Linked DNA regions of Schizosaccharomyces pombe. Changing the gene in region 1 together with any one later gene gives a genetic interaction. Each region holds a gene or a part of one and is shown on either strand. Other genes may lie near its edges.

Evidence for each region.
Region 2: mutations in prt1 (region 1) and bfr1 impair growth when combined (synthetic growth defect), as found in Schizosaccharomyces pombe (one study listed by BioGRID).

The regions. Positions count from the first base shown.
Region 1 is NC_003423.3:794,299-799,634, forward strand, and holds prt1 (transcription factor), read left to right. Parts: upstream 1-2,000; 5' UTR 2,001-2,284; coding exon 2,285-4,573; 3' UTR 4,574-4,696; downstream 4,697-5,336. Other genes in the region: Tea1-anchoring protein Mod5, read left to right, coding at 1-759.
Region 2 is NC_003421.2:709,374-717,370, reverse strand, and holds the start of bfr1 (plasma membrane brefeldin A efflux transporter Bfr1), read left to right. Parts: upstream 1-1,952; 5' UTR 1,953-3,363; coding exon 3,364-7,956; 3' UTR 7,957-7,997. UniProt on the Schizosaccharomyces pombe protein: Confers hyper-resistance to brefeldin A (BFA), an inhibitor of intracellular protein transport. Could serve as an efflux pump of various antibiotics.

The DNA.
Region 1 (5,336 bases):
AAGGCTCGACCTGTATCTGTGCCAGATATGTCGTCTCCCGTACCTGCTTCTTCAGTTGAATATGAGTCTCTCAAAGCCGCCGTTACTTATTCGCCTTCTCAAAATCCCAAGAAGGTTGCAGAAACCGATTCTGAATCTCGTAAATCGTCTTTTCAATCTTCCTACAATGATGCAGATCGACCTTTCCAGGTTGGCGCGCAGACGCAATCAACACCGAATCGCATTTCGAGGAGTGATTCTCCTATTGTATATGATGTAGACACTCATTCTGAAGACAACGCTAGTACAGCATCTTCGGAAGCCATTTCTCAATCAATGCGTTCTTTTCAACCTCAACCGAATACTGGGAGTCCATTTCCACGTTTTACTTCCACCAATACTGAAGATGAGCAGGAGTCAGATATTCCTCAATCGGATGCCAATGATTCCACTGTGAATTTGAACCAACCTAACTACGCCAATTTAACTCCTACACCTCAAGTTTCACCGAAACGACCTACTTACTCAAGAAGCTCACCTTTGCCTTCGGCTTCTGTACCCGCCCTTGGTGATGGGTCACCAGATCCTCCAGCTGCTCCGTCAATTCAGAATTCTTTGAGTGTCCACGAATCTGAAATGCCACCTCATGTAACCAGAGACTATACACAACCAGCTGCTAGTGCAACACCAGTACCTAAAGAAAAACCTTCTGAAAAAAGTGAAAAACCTCCTAAAAAGAAAGGTTCCAAATTAGAGAAGTTTTGTTGTATTTTGATGTAAAATTTATTTTTGTTTTTTTTAATATTTTAAGGATTGGCGTCGAAAGCATGTGTCTATGAAGGATTCAGATATCCAAAGGAAATCGTAATACTTGAAGGAATTAATTTAATGGTTGTTCACGTGCGTACTTTCCTGTCTGCTTATATCCATATTATATTTCCGTTTTAATGCATACTCATTTCAAGACACGTGTTATCATTAACGTTGATTGGGATACACATAACCTCTAGAATTACATGTTTCAAATCTTTTTTTTATTGTGGAGCGTTATGTTAAATTTTTTGCCTTGTTTTTTGAACAATAATAACATATGAACATTTAGTATAGTGTTTTAGCAGGAAGAATTTCATATTTTTTCGAATAATGAAAACTAGAAACGTTGAACTCATGTGGTGCATATCGCGTTAACTCATACTAATTTATACCGGGTTCGATTGGTCATGGTTTTCAGATCTCTTTAACCTGGATATCCGATCTTGGAGGTTAAATGGCATATTCTTGAGGAACTTTTAAATTTCTATTTGGTTTAACAAAGGATAGTCTTGCTTGTCCCACATTTCTTTTTCTCTACGAACTTCACTTTATTTTAGACTGGGCATGAATTACTTTGTACGACAAATAGAACAAAAGGATTTTTTTTTCTTTTGTTCATTTAAATCGGTGTTATGAATGAACGACAGACCATTAAAAGAAAAAGCAATTTATTTCACCTCACTGATTTACAGTCATTGGTAAGTTGGAACTTATAATTTATAGCTTTTGGAGTTTGGCGAGTTTATGAAAGCAAAATTAAATTGAAAAAGCTTTTTTTTAATTTTCTTTTTCGCAAAAGCTTTCTGAAATCTAGTGTCGAACTTTTATGTTTGCAATGTAGGGATGAGATGTTTTTTGAGAAGTCGGACTTCGGACTTCCTCCGATCCGTCTTAATTCAATTTTGATCCGTTTCCAAAGAAAACAAAAAGCTTTATTTTTAATTTATGTAACTTTTCGTTCTGTTTTTCTAATGCTACCCCTCAGGTATGTGGTAAATGTACCTACCTGTATAACTTAGTTTTTGTTCGCAAAAACTATTTTGATTATTTAATTTCAGTATTTAATAATGAAATTAAATCAAAATTTGAACGACTTTCATCAAAATTAATGAGCTTCTGTATTTTTTCTACATTTATTCCCAATTGCTCAGCACGATAAGTTTCGTAAAATCGGATTGATATAGTAATCTACACGCATCAACGTGACTAACACAACTTGGTTAAAAATTTTTATCGGAATTGTTAAAAACGAATAATTGGTGCTTAATTTATAAATGAAAGCTTTATTTCATAATAAATCGCTTACTGAAAATACTTTTTAAGGAACATTTTTTGGACCCGCACATTTTAACTACTCAGAAAACGAACGTCCTATATTGTAGGTATTGCTAAGTGATTGGCTTTTTTATTCTATTTTTTAATATCTTTGGCATATCTTAATATTTGCTAATCGACTGTCGTTGCACTTGTACATTGAAAAAATTGTTACCGGATGGAAAATTTGAAATCAGCATCGCCGGAGGAAGACTCACCTCGCCACGGGGATAACATGGGGAAACCAAAAAGAATTCCTAGAGCTTGTGACATGTGTAGAAAAAGGAAGATTCGCTGTGATGGAAAGCAACCTGCATGTTCGAATTGCGTTAGTCACGGAATCCCATGCGTATTTACAGCTAGACCTAAAAGAAGAACAGGTCAGAGACAAATGTACATTAAGTCGCTCGTTTCTAGATTAGAACAAATGGAGTCTACTCTGAGATCCGTAATTCCGAACTACGACCAGCAGCCTGATATTATACATCCCTCCTCTACTCCCAAAAACTATCATGATCTAAACTGTACGAAAGGCGAAACTTCTTCCGATGACTCCACCGACGATATAGCGTTTTTGAATGAAAAAATGGGGACTCTCGTCACTACTCCGATCGGTTCTCAAAAATATTTCGGCTCTTCATCTACCTTTTCCATTATTCAACATGCTGCAAAATTTGCATCAGGAGTTGAATCCGATAAAGTTTTAGAGCATCTGTCCATGGCTAAATCGGGTTGTTTGTTTGATCCTGATGAGAGTTTCGATGGCTCAAAAGCCGAATTACCTTCTTCAGAGATTGCCAATATATACATAGATGCCTACTTCAAATCATACAATCCTTTATTTCCTGTTTTTACAAGAGAAAATTTTTACCAAAAATTTGGTTCCCCAAATTGTTTCAAAAAACCCGATGGTTCCATTGATCTGGTTAATTATGCTTCATACGTTGTTGTTTTATCTCTTGGTTGTCTTGCTATAGCGGATACTGAAGAGCAAGTTTCCCGAGCTAATGCTCTATTTAAAAACACTCTCGGAATCAGTATTGAAGTTACTAAAGATATGAGCTTCCGTACTCTGGTCTTCAATTTTCTTACTTCAGTCTATTATTGCGCAGTTTCCAAACCAAATGCGGTCTGGTTGAACGTTGGTGTAGTCGTTAGAGTTGCACAAACGCTAGGTCTTCATCGAAACAGTGCAATGTGGTCTATTGGAAAGGAGGATGCGGAAGAGAAAGCTCGTTTGTTTTGGTATATATATTATTTGGATAGAGTATCCTCGATGATGACAGGAAAACCCGTTGCTTTTCAGGACGATGACATTGATCAAATGGTGCCATTTTACTCTATTTATTGCTATTATGGACTTAAGCCACCCGAAGGAGATCCTTTGGGTACTTTTAACTTTTTGGAAGCCGAGGTGCAGTTAACGCGAATTGTTGGCCAAGTCCTAAAGGAACTATACTCAGTGAGTGGCATGAAGTCTAATTCTTCTCAAGTTATGGAAAAAATACTTGAGTTTGACCTTTTGCTAAACAACTGGTATAACAGTCTTCCCGACTGTATGCAACCTCGGAATCGTTTTAAAATTCCCAAATTTTGCTCGAGCAATCTGATTTTAACATCTGCTATTTATTATTCATGTTTAATCCTTATTCATCGTCATTCTCTTACAAAAAATCTTCAGGTGAATTGTGTCCATAGAGGGACTGGCTCTATAACAGATTCTCAAGCTTTATGCATTGCGGCAGCTCGCTCCATTACAAATCTTTTCGTGGAATCGGTTGATCTACAGCCATTGATAATGAAAATCATTATGTATCATGCCTTTACATCTTCGATTATCATCTTTATCAGTATATTGAAGCGGCCTCTTGCTTCTATATGTTCTGAAGATTTGAATTGTTTAATTTCCGTAAAAAATCGTTTAATAAGTTTTGAAACACATGGTTTTGTTCGTTTGAATGTCGTTATGGATGCTTTAGAAAGTATGATCTCGACTGCTCAGGCAGCTATGCAAAAGGCTAAGCAAATAGCAATCAATTTTAGCAGCAACTTAGCTACGAACGAAGATGTTACTAATTCTGGCATGCCTGATATTGCGGATGTTTCCCTAAAATCGCAAAGCCATGTACCACCACGTATATCCAGCAACCATTCAGATACAAGTGTTAAAAGCAATTCTCCCTCCTCTATATTTGATAACAGCGGGTATCTGAACTCTCTTAATAACAGCATCTTACAAATGCATCAAAACCTCCAAAATTCATCTAACACAAATGACCAGTATAAGTTTGATTCTGTTCAGGAAAATGAGCTACATGCAAATATAACTCCCGTGTTAGATCAAACAATGTCAATGTTCCCGTTTAAGGATCAGTTAGATCTAAATTTTGCTGCTGCTAATGTTTACAATCCTAATGTTTTTGATGATATGGGTTTGGATTGTAGTTTTTATGGGAACGGTCTATAATTAACCTAAATTATGTTTTATTAAATAGACGTCGTTGTCTAGATGCGCATGATATGATAATCCTTTTGTTTTGTTTTTGTTTACAGATTTTTACACCTTAATAGTTATTTTATTTATTATTTGGATGGTCCGTTTCTGTACGAAGTCATTATCAGTCCTTTGGACAAATTTTCTAAATTGGCAAACAATTATGAAGAATGCCCTAATGCTTTTATAGCTCACTAATTGTGAGCATGCTTTTTAAAGGACTTTTATATGCATGTGATAATTTTAAGTCCGAGATTGTCTTTCTTGATTGACAGCTAGTGCAGTAAATTCGGAGAGCCAATGCTCGGCTTCTTTCGTATTTTGGTGGTCTGGCCCTAAGGTTTCCTTTAATATGTCGTAGGCCACGCGCACTGCATGCAATGCGCTACGACTGTCCTTGTTAAGAACCATTAGTTGAGCCAGCTGTAAATACAGAGAAGCAGTAGGTGTAGTTTTGCCGAAAATTTTGTCTGATAGATCGACTGCAATTTGCAAACACTTCTGACTCTGAATGAATTTTTCAGAGCCATGTAACATAAGAGAAAGATTAGTAAATGAGTTAATAGTATTAGGATGATCTGGTCCAAAAACCAAATACCACAGCTTTAGTGCATGCTGCATATGCATCACTGCCTGCATTTCATTTTTTTGAGAGAATTCATATAGAGAAAGATTCATATAAGCCAAGCTGGTTTCCGAAGAATCAAATCCGAGGAATCGTTCACAAACAATTACA
Region 2 (7,997 bases), on another chromosome or scaffold:
TTTGTTTAATAAAATATTAATAAAATACAAAGCAGTGCGAAATGACACGTTAAAATGCTTAAGTGGATGAAAAAAGAATTTAATTTGCCTTAAGTATTTACATATTTACCTATAGAGAGAGGTAAAGAGATGAGCCATATTGCATTCACGTATTTCGTGCCATAGTATTTGTAGCCGATTTGGTAGGATTGCTTCATCAACATGTTGGACCATGTTATTAACACATGATAGGCAAGTTTACGATGGTCTTCGCACTATGATGTCCAACTTTTCGCAGCATCGAAACGGACAATTTTTTAGTACTTTGAGAGCGATGCGATCGAGCTGCTCTCAAAGTGTCAAATTTGCCCAGTAATTTCGACATGCGCTCAGTAATAGAAACTTCTCGTACTGGGCACACTAGCTAGAAACATGGCGCCCACACACAGTCGGACAAACGATGAAGACGCAGTACAAAGTAGGCAAAACAAAAACGGGAGACAGTGGGAATGTAATCGGTCAAGAGAATATTTCGCTCTCTACAATTTCTAGCTACTCAATCTTCTACTTACTAACAACTGATCCAATGTGCAGCAGTATTTATGCTAGAAAGGAGAAAAAGTCAAAACCAACTTTAAAGTCAGTTTGGCTATTTACCTTTTCAAGTCTTTATGGGAATAAAACAGTAGCGCAGCGTAATATTACATAGCGCACTCGATCGTTACAATGCAATTCATCTTGCAAAGTGCAGAGAGAGTGCATGAACATATTCTATACTGGACATCCATTCCAATTTAATCAGATAAATTAAAAAAAAAACAATTGCTCACAAATTCTTCAGTAATCATCTCTATTCGTAATCCTTATCCTTTATCCTTGCAAATTTGAGTATATCTACTCTCCTTCGTAATCTTCCCGATCGCACTCCTTTATTCCTCATTATTCCATTCAACACATTCTCTTTTCCTCGTTATTCTTTGCGCTTACTCATTTCTTACTAATCAGATCTGCAAGAGCTGCATTTGATGCCAAATGTGCGACACTTCTCAAACGCGAGGTGCTCGGACATCGGGCATCGGAATTTAGAAATTAGCCTCTTGCGTATCGCTGTATCGTGATAACAGCAAATGCTGTAGTTGACCGCGCAGCGGTAATTTCGGAACTTGGACGATCCCGACTATGTTTGAGTGCTTCGCTGCTAGGAAACGCTACTAAAGAGGTTTACGAAAACGCTATTTGTCGTTAAATTTACATTACTGAGAGAGTGAGAGAGCAAGTGTCTATAGCTAAAAGTAGCGCAGGAGAGGAAACGTTGAACGCGTAGTTAAATGGAAAAAAGGTAGGATTTGTCAGGTTTTAAACCAATATTCAAATTCATCAAGTCATTTGAATAAAAAATAGACCAAGAAGTAGGAAGTTTGAATGAAAATAGAGAAACTTTTCACTCACTTTTGTATTTCCCTTTGACATGTAAACAAAAGAAAGATAAAGATGAGCGCTCGTACCAGATGGACGATTCGGGTCTTTGTTGGTTTGCAAAACAATCTCTGAAATTATGAACAAACAAAAGAACTTTGTAAAATAATAAAAACTATGCTAAAGTCGGGGGAAATTTCGAGAAAATTTGGGCTTTTTCTGAGGTTAAACACTTTATAAAAGGGATTTTGGACTCTTTTCTCAATCTTTTTGATTCAAGAGAATCTCGCTTTTAATTCATTGAAATTTTTTTTGTTCTTTCTCTCATATTACACTCATTTTTATCGGTTTTTCATCTCATTTCGTCTCTAAACCCTCTCTTTCTTGTTGCGTCTCTTATTATCGAGTTGTCTTAGTCATACTATTATACAAGGCAAATTTATCGCTTGCTTGCTCCTCGGTGTTTAGTCGATCGCTTTTCTATGACATCACTCCGGAGAGTCAAAGCGCCGAACGAAATTGTTTACTAAAGCGAGTCAGCGGCCACCATTTTTTTCACATCATCTTCCTAGCGTTTGGCAGTTCATATTAAAGAACGAAGAAATTGCTCCCTACTTTCTCGATAACCAACTTGCTTTCTGGTTTATCCTTTGAAGCGCAACGAAACGTCGTTTTTATTGAGTTCGTAGAGACCGTTATCTCGATTTAGTTCCTTTTTGTTTGGTTTTCAAGCTTTTGTTGGAGTTCAGGAAGCTTTAGCTTTCTTACCTTTTCTCCCGTTTCCCTTGCATTTCCATTTCCCTCTTCCTACCTGTCTTCTAGATACATTTCTTTCCTCTTGCGGAAACTTATTGGATTCTCTTTCTTCTTTTGAAACGTGGCCTGCAAAAAGCCATTGTTTTTCAGGAAATTTTGCTTTTCTTATCTTTGAAACTAGTTCCTCTTCTAAAAAATTGGCGTTGCTTCTTTCTTCTTCCTATTTGCCCCTTCTCTTCCCTTCTTGTCATAAGCATACCTGTGGTGCTAGGTTTTCATCCCTGCTCCTATTATAAAACTTTCATTTACTCGTATTATTGACCAGTCGTCTTTCACTTTTTCAGTAGGAGTCTGAATCAACACGAATTGGCGATTCGTATTACGAGCAATCTCACAGGCAGACAAGAACGAAATTTTTTTTCCCCTATTGCGTTTGGGAAAATTCACTCTAATAAAAAAGAAGCCTTCTTTCTATATATTATAAAATATATATAGATAGATAAATATTTTTTATACATACAACCGTATACATATCTATTTATCTATATTTGTTATAGTATCTATTTGAACTTTCCAAAGGAGATCCTTCATTTTTTTATCTTCTTCCTTTAGTAATCTTACTGCTTTTTAAGCCAAGCTTAAAAAGTACTGTTCGATTCCCCATTCGTTCCTCTCCTAATTTTAAATTATTTTCTTCACCCACTTGTTAAACAATAAAACTTTTCTCTTCAGTGTACAGTGAGCTCGGTTGCTTACTTCATCATCACTCACTAATTTTGTTTGAAAGTCTTTCTGGTTGCGATTCGCTTTCGCTTTTTTTTTAAACTTGTTGTTGGTCGTTTTCCCTAGCGTTTTCGTTCAATTCACGTACTTTCGTTTGCGTTTTTCTTATTATTTTCACAACTTGAAGTTTACTGTCTTGTGAAATAGCGTTCTAATTCTTCTTACGTTTTGGTAATTTTGTCGTTTATTTTATTAAACTTTTCATTTCTCGTTTTTTTTAAATCGTTGGACGTCGATCTGCTTTTTTTTTTCAGCTCGATTTATAGAGTTCAACTTGTTTCAATTGTATCGTGGTGTTTTCAAAATTTTTTCTTTTGAATCGTTCAATTACTAATATAAAACATCATTTCCGGTTTTTTCTACTTTCTTTTTTCCTATCCTGTTCTATTTTGATTTGTTTCCCTTTTATATTCCTTTTTACATTACGAAATGAATCAAAATTCGGATACTACTCACGGTCAGGCCTTAGGCAGTACTTTAAATCATACCACCGAGGTTACGCGTATTTCTAATTCCTCTGATCATTTCGAGGATTCTTCTTCGAATGTTGACGAGTCTTTAGATTCTTCTAATCCTTCATCCAATGAGAAGGCATCACACACTAATGAGGAATACCGTTCAAAAGGTAATCAAAGTTACGTCCCATCTTCATCAAACGAACCCTCCCCAGAATCCTCATCGAATTCGGATTCTTCCTCATCTGATGATTCATCGGTCGACCGTTTGGCCGGTGATCCCTTTGAACTAGGGGAAAACTTCAACTTGAAGCATTATTTAAGAGCATACAAAGATTCTTTACAACGAGACGATATCATCACTCGTAGTAGTGGTGTCTGCATGCGCGACCATAGTGTTTATGGCGTTGGTTCTGGATATGAATTTTTGAAAACATTTCCTGATATTTTTTTACAACCTTATCGAGCTATCACTGAAAAACAAGTGGTGGAAAAAGCCATTTTAAGTCATTGTCATGCTCTTGCCAATGCTGGTGAACTGGTGATGGTTTTGGGACAACCAGGTTCTGGATGTTCCACTTTCTTGCGTTCAGTTACTAGCGATACTGTTCACTACAAGCGTGTCGAGGGAACCACTCATTATGACGGTATTGACAAGGCCGACATGAAAAAGTTTTTCCCCGGTGATCTTTTATACAGTGGTGAAAACGATGTCCATTTCCCATCTTTGACTACCGCTGAAACCCTTGATTTTGCGGCTAAATGCCGTACCCCAAACAACCGTCCTTGCAACCTCACCCGTCAAGAATATGTGAGTCGTGAGAGGCATTTAATTGCTACCGCATTTGGCTTGACACACACTTTCAATACCAAGGTAGGTAATGATTTCGTACGTGGTGTCTCTGGTGGTGAACGTAAGCGTGTAACTATTAGTGAAGGTTTTGCTACTCGTCCAACTATCGCTTGCTGGGATAATAGTACTCGTGGTTTGGACTCTAGTACGGCTTTCGAGTTCGTCAATGTCCTTCGCACTTGTGCCAATGAACTTAAAATGACATCCTTCGTTACTGCATACCAAGCTTCGGAAAAGATTTACAAACTTTTCGATCGAATTTGTGTACTTTATGCCGGTAGGCAAATTTATTATGGACCAGCTGACAAAGCCAAGCAATACTTCTTAGATATGGGGTTTGACTGTCATCCTCGTGAAACAACTCCTGACTTCCTCACTGCTATTTCTGACCCGAAGGCTAGGTTTCCTAGAAAGGGTTTCGAAAATCGCGTTCCCAGAACCCCTGATGAGTTTGAACAAATGTGGCGCAATAGTTCTGTATATGCTGACCTTATGGCCGAAATGGAAAGCTATGACAAACGGTGGACCGAGACTACTCCTGCTTCTTCTGAAGCCCCCGAAAAAGACAACTTTGGAAGCGATATCTCTGCCACTACCAAGCATGAGCTCTATCGTCAAAGTGCGGTAGCGGAAAAGAGTAAACGTGTTAAGGATACCTCTCCGTATACTGTGACTTTTAGTCAACAGTTGTGGTATTGTTTAGCTAGGTCATGGGAGAGATATATCAATGATCCTGCATATATTGGTTCAATGGCTTTTGCTTTCCTTTTCCAATCTCTTATTATCGGTTCTATTTTCTACGATATGAAATTAAACACCGTTGATGTATTCTCACGTGGTGGTGTTCTTTTCTTCTCTATTCTGTTTTGCGCACTTCAGAGTCTTTCTGAAATCGCTAATATGTTTTCCCAACGACCCATCATTGCTAAGCATAGAGCTTCTGCTTTGTACCATCCTGCTGCAGATGTTATTAGTAGCTTGATTGTCGATCTACCTTTCAGATTCATTAATATTTCGGTTTTCTCAATTGTGTTGTATTTTTTAACAAATTTAAAGAGGACTGCTGGCGGATTTTGGACTTACTTTTTGTTCCTTTTCATAGGTGCTACTTGTATGTCTGCCTTTTTTCGATCATTAGCTGGAATTATGCCCAATGTTGAATCTGCATCTGCTTTGGGTGGTATCGGTGTGCTTGCAATTGCCATTTACACTGGTTATGCTATTCCTAATATCGACGTTGGATGGTGGTTCCGCTGGATTGCTTATCTCGACCCGTTGCAATTTGGTTTTGAGTCTTTAATGATTAATGAATTCAAGGCACGACAGTTCGAATGCTCTCAATTGATTCCGTACGGTAGTGGATATGACAATTATCCTGTAGCTAACAAAATCTGTCCCGTCACCTCTGCAGAACCTGGAACAGATTACGTTGACGGCTCAACTTACTTGTATATTAGTTTCAACTACAAGACGCGTCAATTATGGAGAAATTTGGCTATTATTATTGGATATTATGCGTTCTTGGTATTTGTCAACATCGTCGCCAGTGAAACTCTTAATTTCAACGATTTGAAAGGTGAATATCTGGTCTTTCGCCGCGGCCATGCTCCTGACGCTGTAAAAGCAGCTGTCAATGAAGGTGGAAAACCGCTGGATTTAGAAACTGGTCAAGATACTCAAGGTGGTGACGTTGTTAAAGAGTCTCCGGACAACGAAGAAGAGCTTAACAAGGAATATGAAGGAATTGAAAAAGGCCATGACATTTTCAGCTGGAGAAATCTTAACTACGACATTCAAATAAAAGGTGAGCATCGCCGGTTACTTAATGGTGTGCAAGGCTTTGTTGTTCCAGGTAAATTGACGGCTTTGATGGGTGAATCCGGTGCTGGTAAAACCACTTTACTAAATGTACTTGCTCAACGTGTTGACACTGGTGTAGTAACTGGCGACATGTTGGTTAATGGTAGAGGATTGGATTCAACTTTCCAACGGCGCACTGGTTATGTACAACAGCAGGATGTCCACATTGGTGAATCTACGGTTAGAGAAGCGTTGCGTTTCAGTGCTGCTCTACGTCAACCTGCTTCCGTTCCTCTTTCGGAAAAGTACGAATATGTCGAATCAGTCATTAAACTTTTGGAAATGGAGAGCTATGCTGAAGCAATTATCGGTACTCCTGGCTCCGGATTGAACGTAGAACAACGTAAGCGTGCAACCATTGGTGTCGAGTTGGCTGCGAAGCCTGCTTTATTGTTGTTTTTAGACGAGCCAACTTCTGGTCTAGATAGTCAGTCTGCATGGTCCATTGTTTGTTTCTTGCGAAAATTAGCTGATGCTGGTCAAGCAATTCTTTGTACAATCCATCAACCCAGTGCCGTACTGTTTGATCAATTTGATAGATTGTTACTGCTACAGAAAGGTGGTAAAACAGTGTACTTTGGTGATATAGGAGAACATTCTAAGACTTTGTTAAATTACTTTGAATCTCATGGAGCAGTACATTGTCCTGACGACGGTAATCCAGCTGAATACATTTTAGATGTTATTGGTGCTGGTGCCACTGCCACTACTAATCGTGATTGGCATGAAGTTTGGAATAACTCAGAAGAACGTAAAGCCATTAGTGCAGAGCTAGACAAAATTAACGCTTCATTCTCAAACAGTGAGGATAAAAAGACTTTGTCAAAGGAAGATAGGAGCACTTACGCCATGCCTCTGTGGTTCCAAGTCAAAATGGTCATGACCAGAAATTTCCAGTCTTATTGGAGAGAGCCCTCTATATTGATGTCTAAATTAGCACTGGATATTTTCGCTGGTTTATTTATTGGATTTACATTTTATAATCAAGGTCTCGGTGTACAGAATATTCAGAACAAGCTTTTCGCTGTGTTTATGGCAACCGTTCTTGCAGTTCCTTTGATTAATGGTCTTCAACCAAAATTTATTGAGTTGCGTAACGTCTTTGAAGTTAGAGAAAAGCCTTCGAATATTTACAGTTGGGTTGCATTCGTATTTTCAGCCATTATAGTAGAAATTCCATTTAACCTGGTGTTTGGCACGCTTTTCTTCCTTTGTTGGTTTTATCCAATCAAGTTTTATAAGCATATTCATCATCCTGGTGACAAAACTGGTTACGCTTGGTTGCTTTATATGTTCTTCCAAATGTACTTCTCAACTTTTGGCCAAGCTGTCGCCAGTGCGTGCCCTAATGCTCAAACAGCGTCCGTTGTCAACAGTTTGTTATTCACATTCGTGATTACATTTAACGGTGTTCTGCAGCCTAATAGTAATTTGGTCGGATTTTGGCATTGGATGCATTCGTTGACTCCGTTTACCTATTTGATCGAAGGATTACTTTCTGATTTGGTGCATGGACTTCCAGTTGAATGCAAGTCTCATGAGATGCTTACTATCAACCCTCCTAGCGGTCAAACATGCGGTGAATATATGAGTGCTTTCTTAACTAATAACACAGCTGCTGGAAACCTCTTAAATCCTAATGCTACAACCTCATGCAGTTACTGTCCATATCAAACCGCTGACCAGTTTTTGGAGCGGTTTAGTATGCGTTATACTCATCGCTGGAGAAATTTGGGTATCTTTGTTGGTTATGTGTTCTTCAATATCTTTGCGGTGCTTTTGTTGTTTTACGTATTCCGAGTCATGAAGCTTAGAAGTACTTGGCTTGGTAAAAAGATTACCGGAACTGGTTAAATGTATTAATATGGGGTGTTTTGATGTTTTTAAGTTTTATG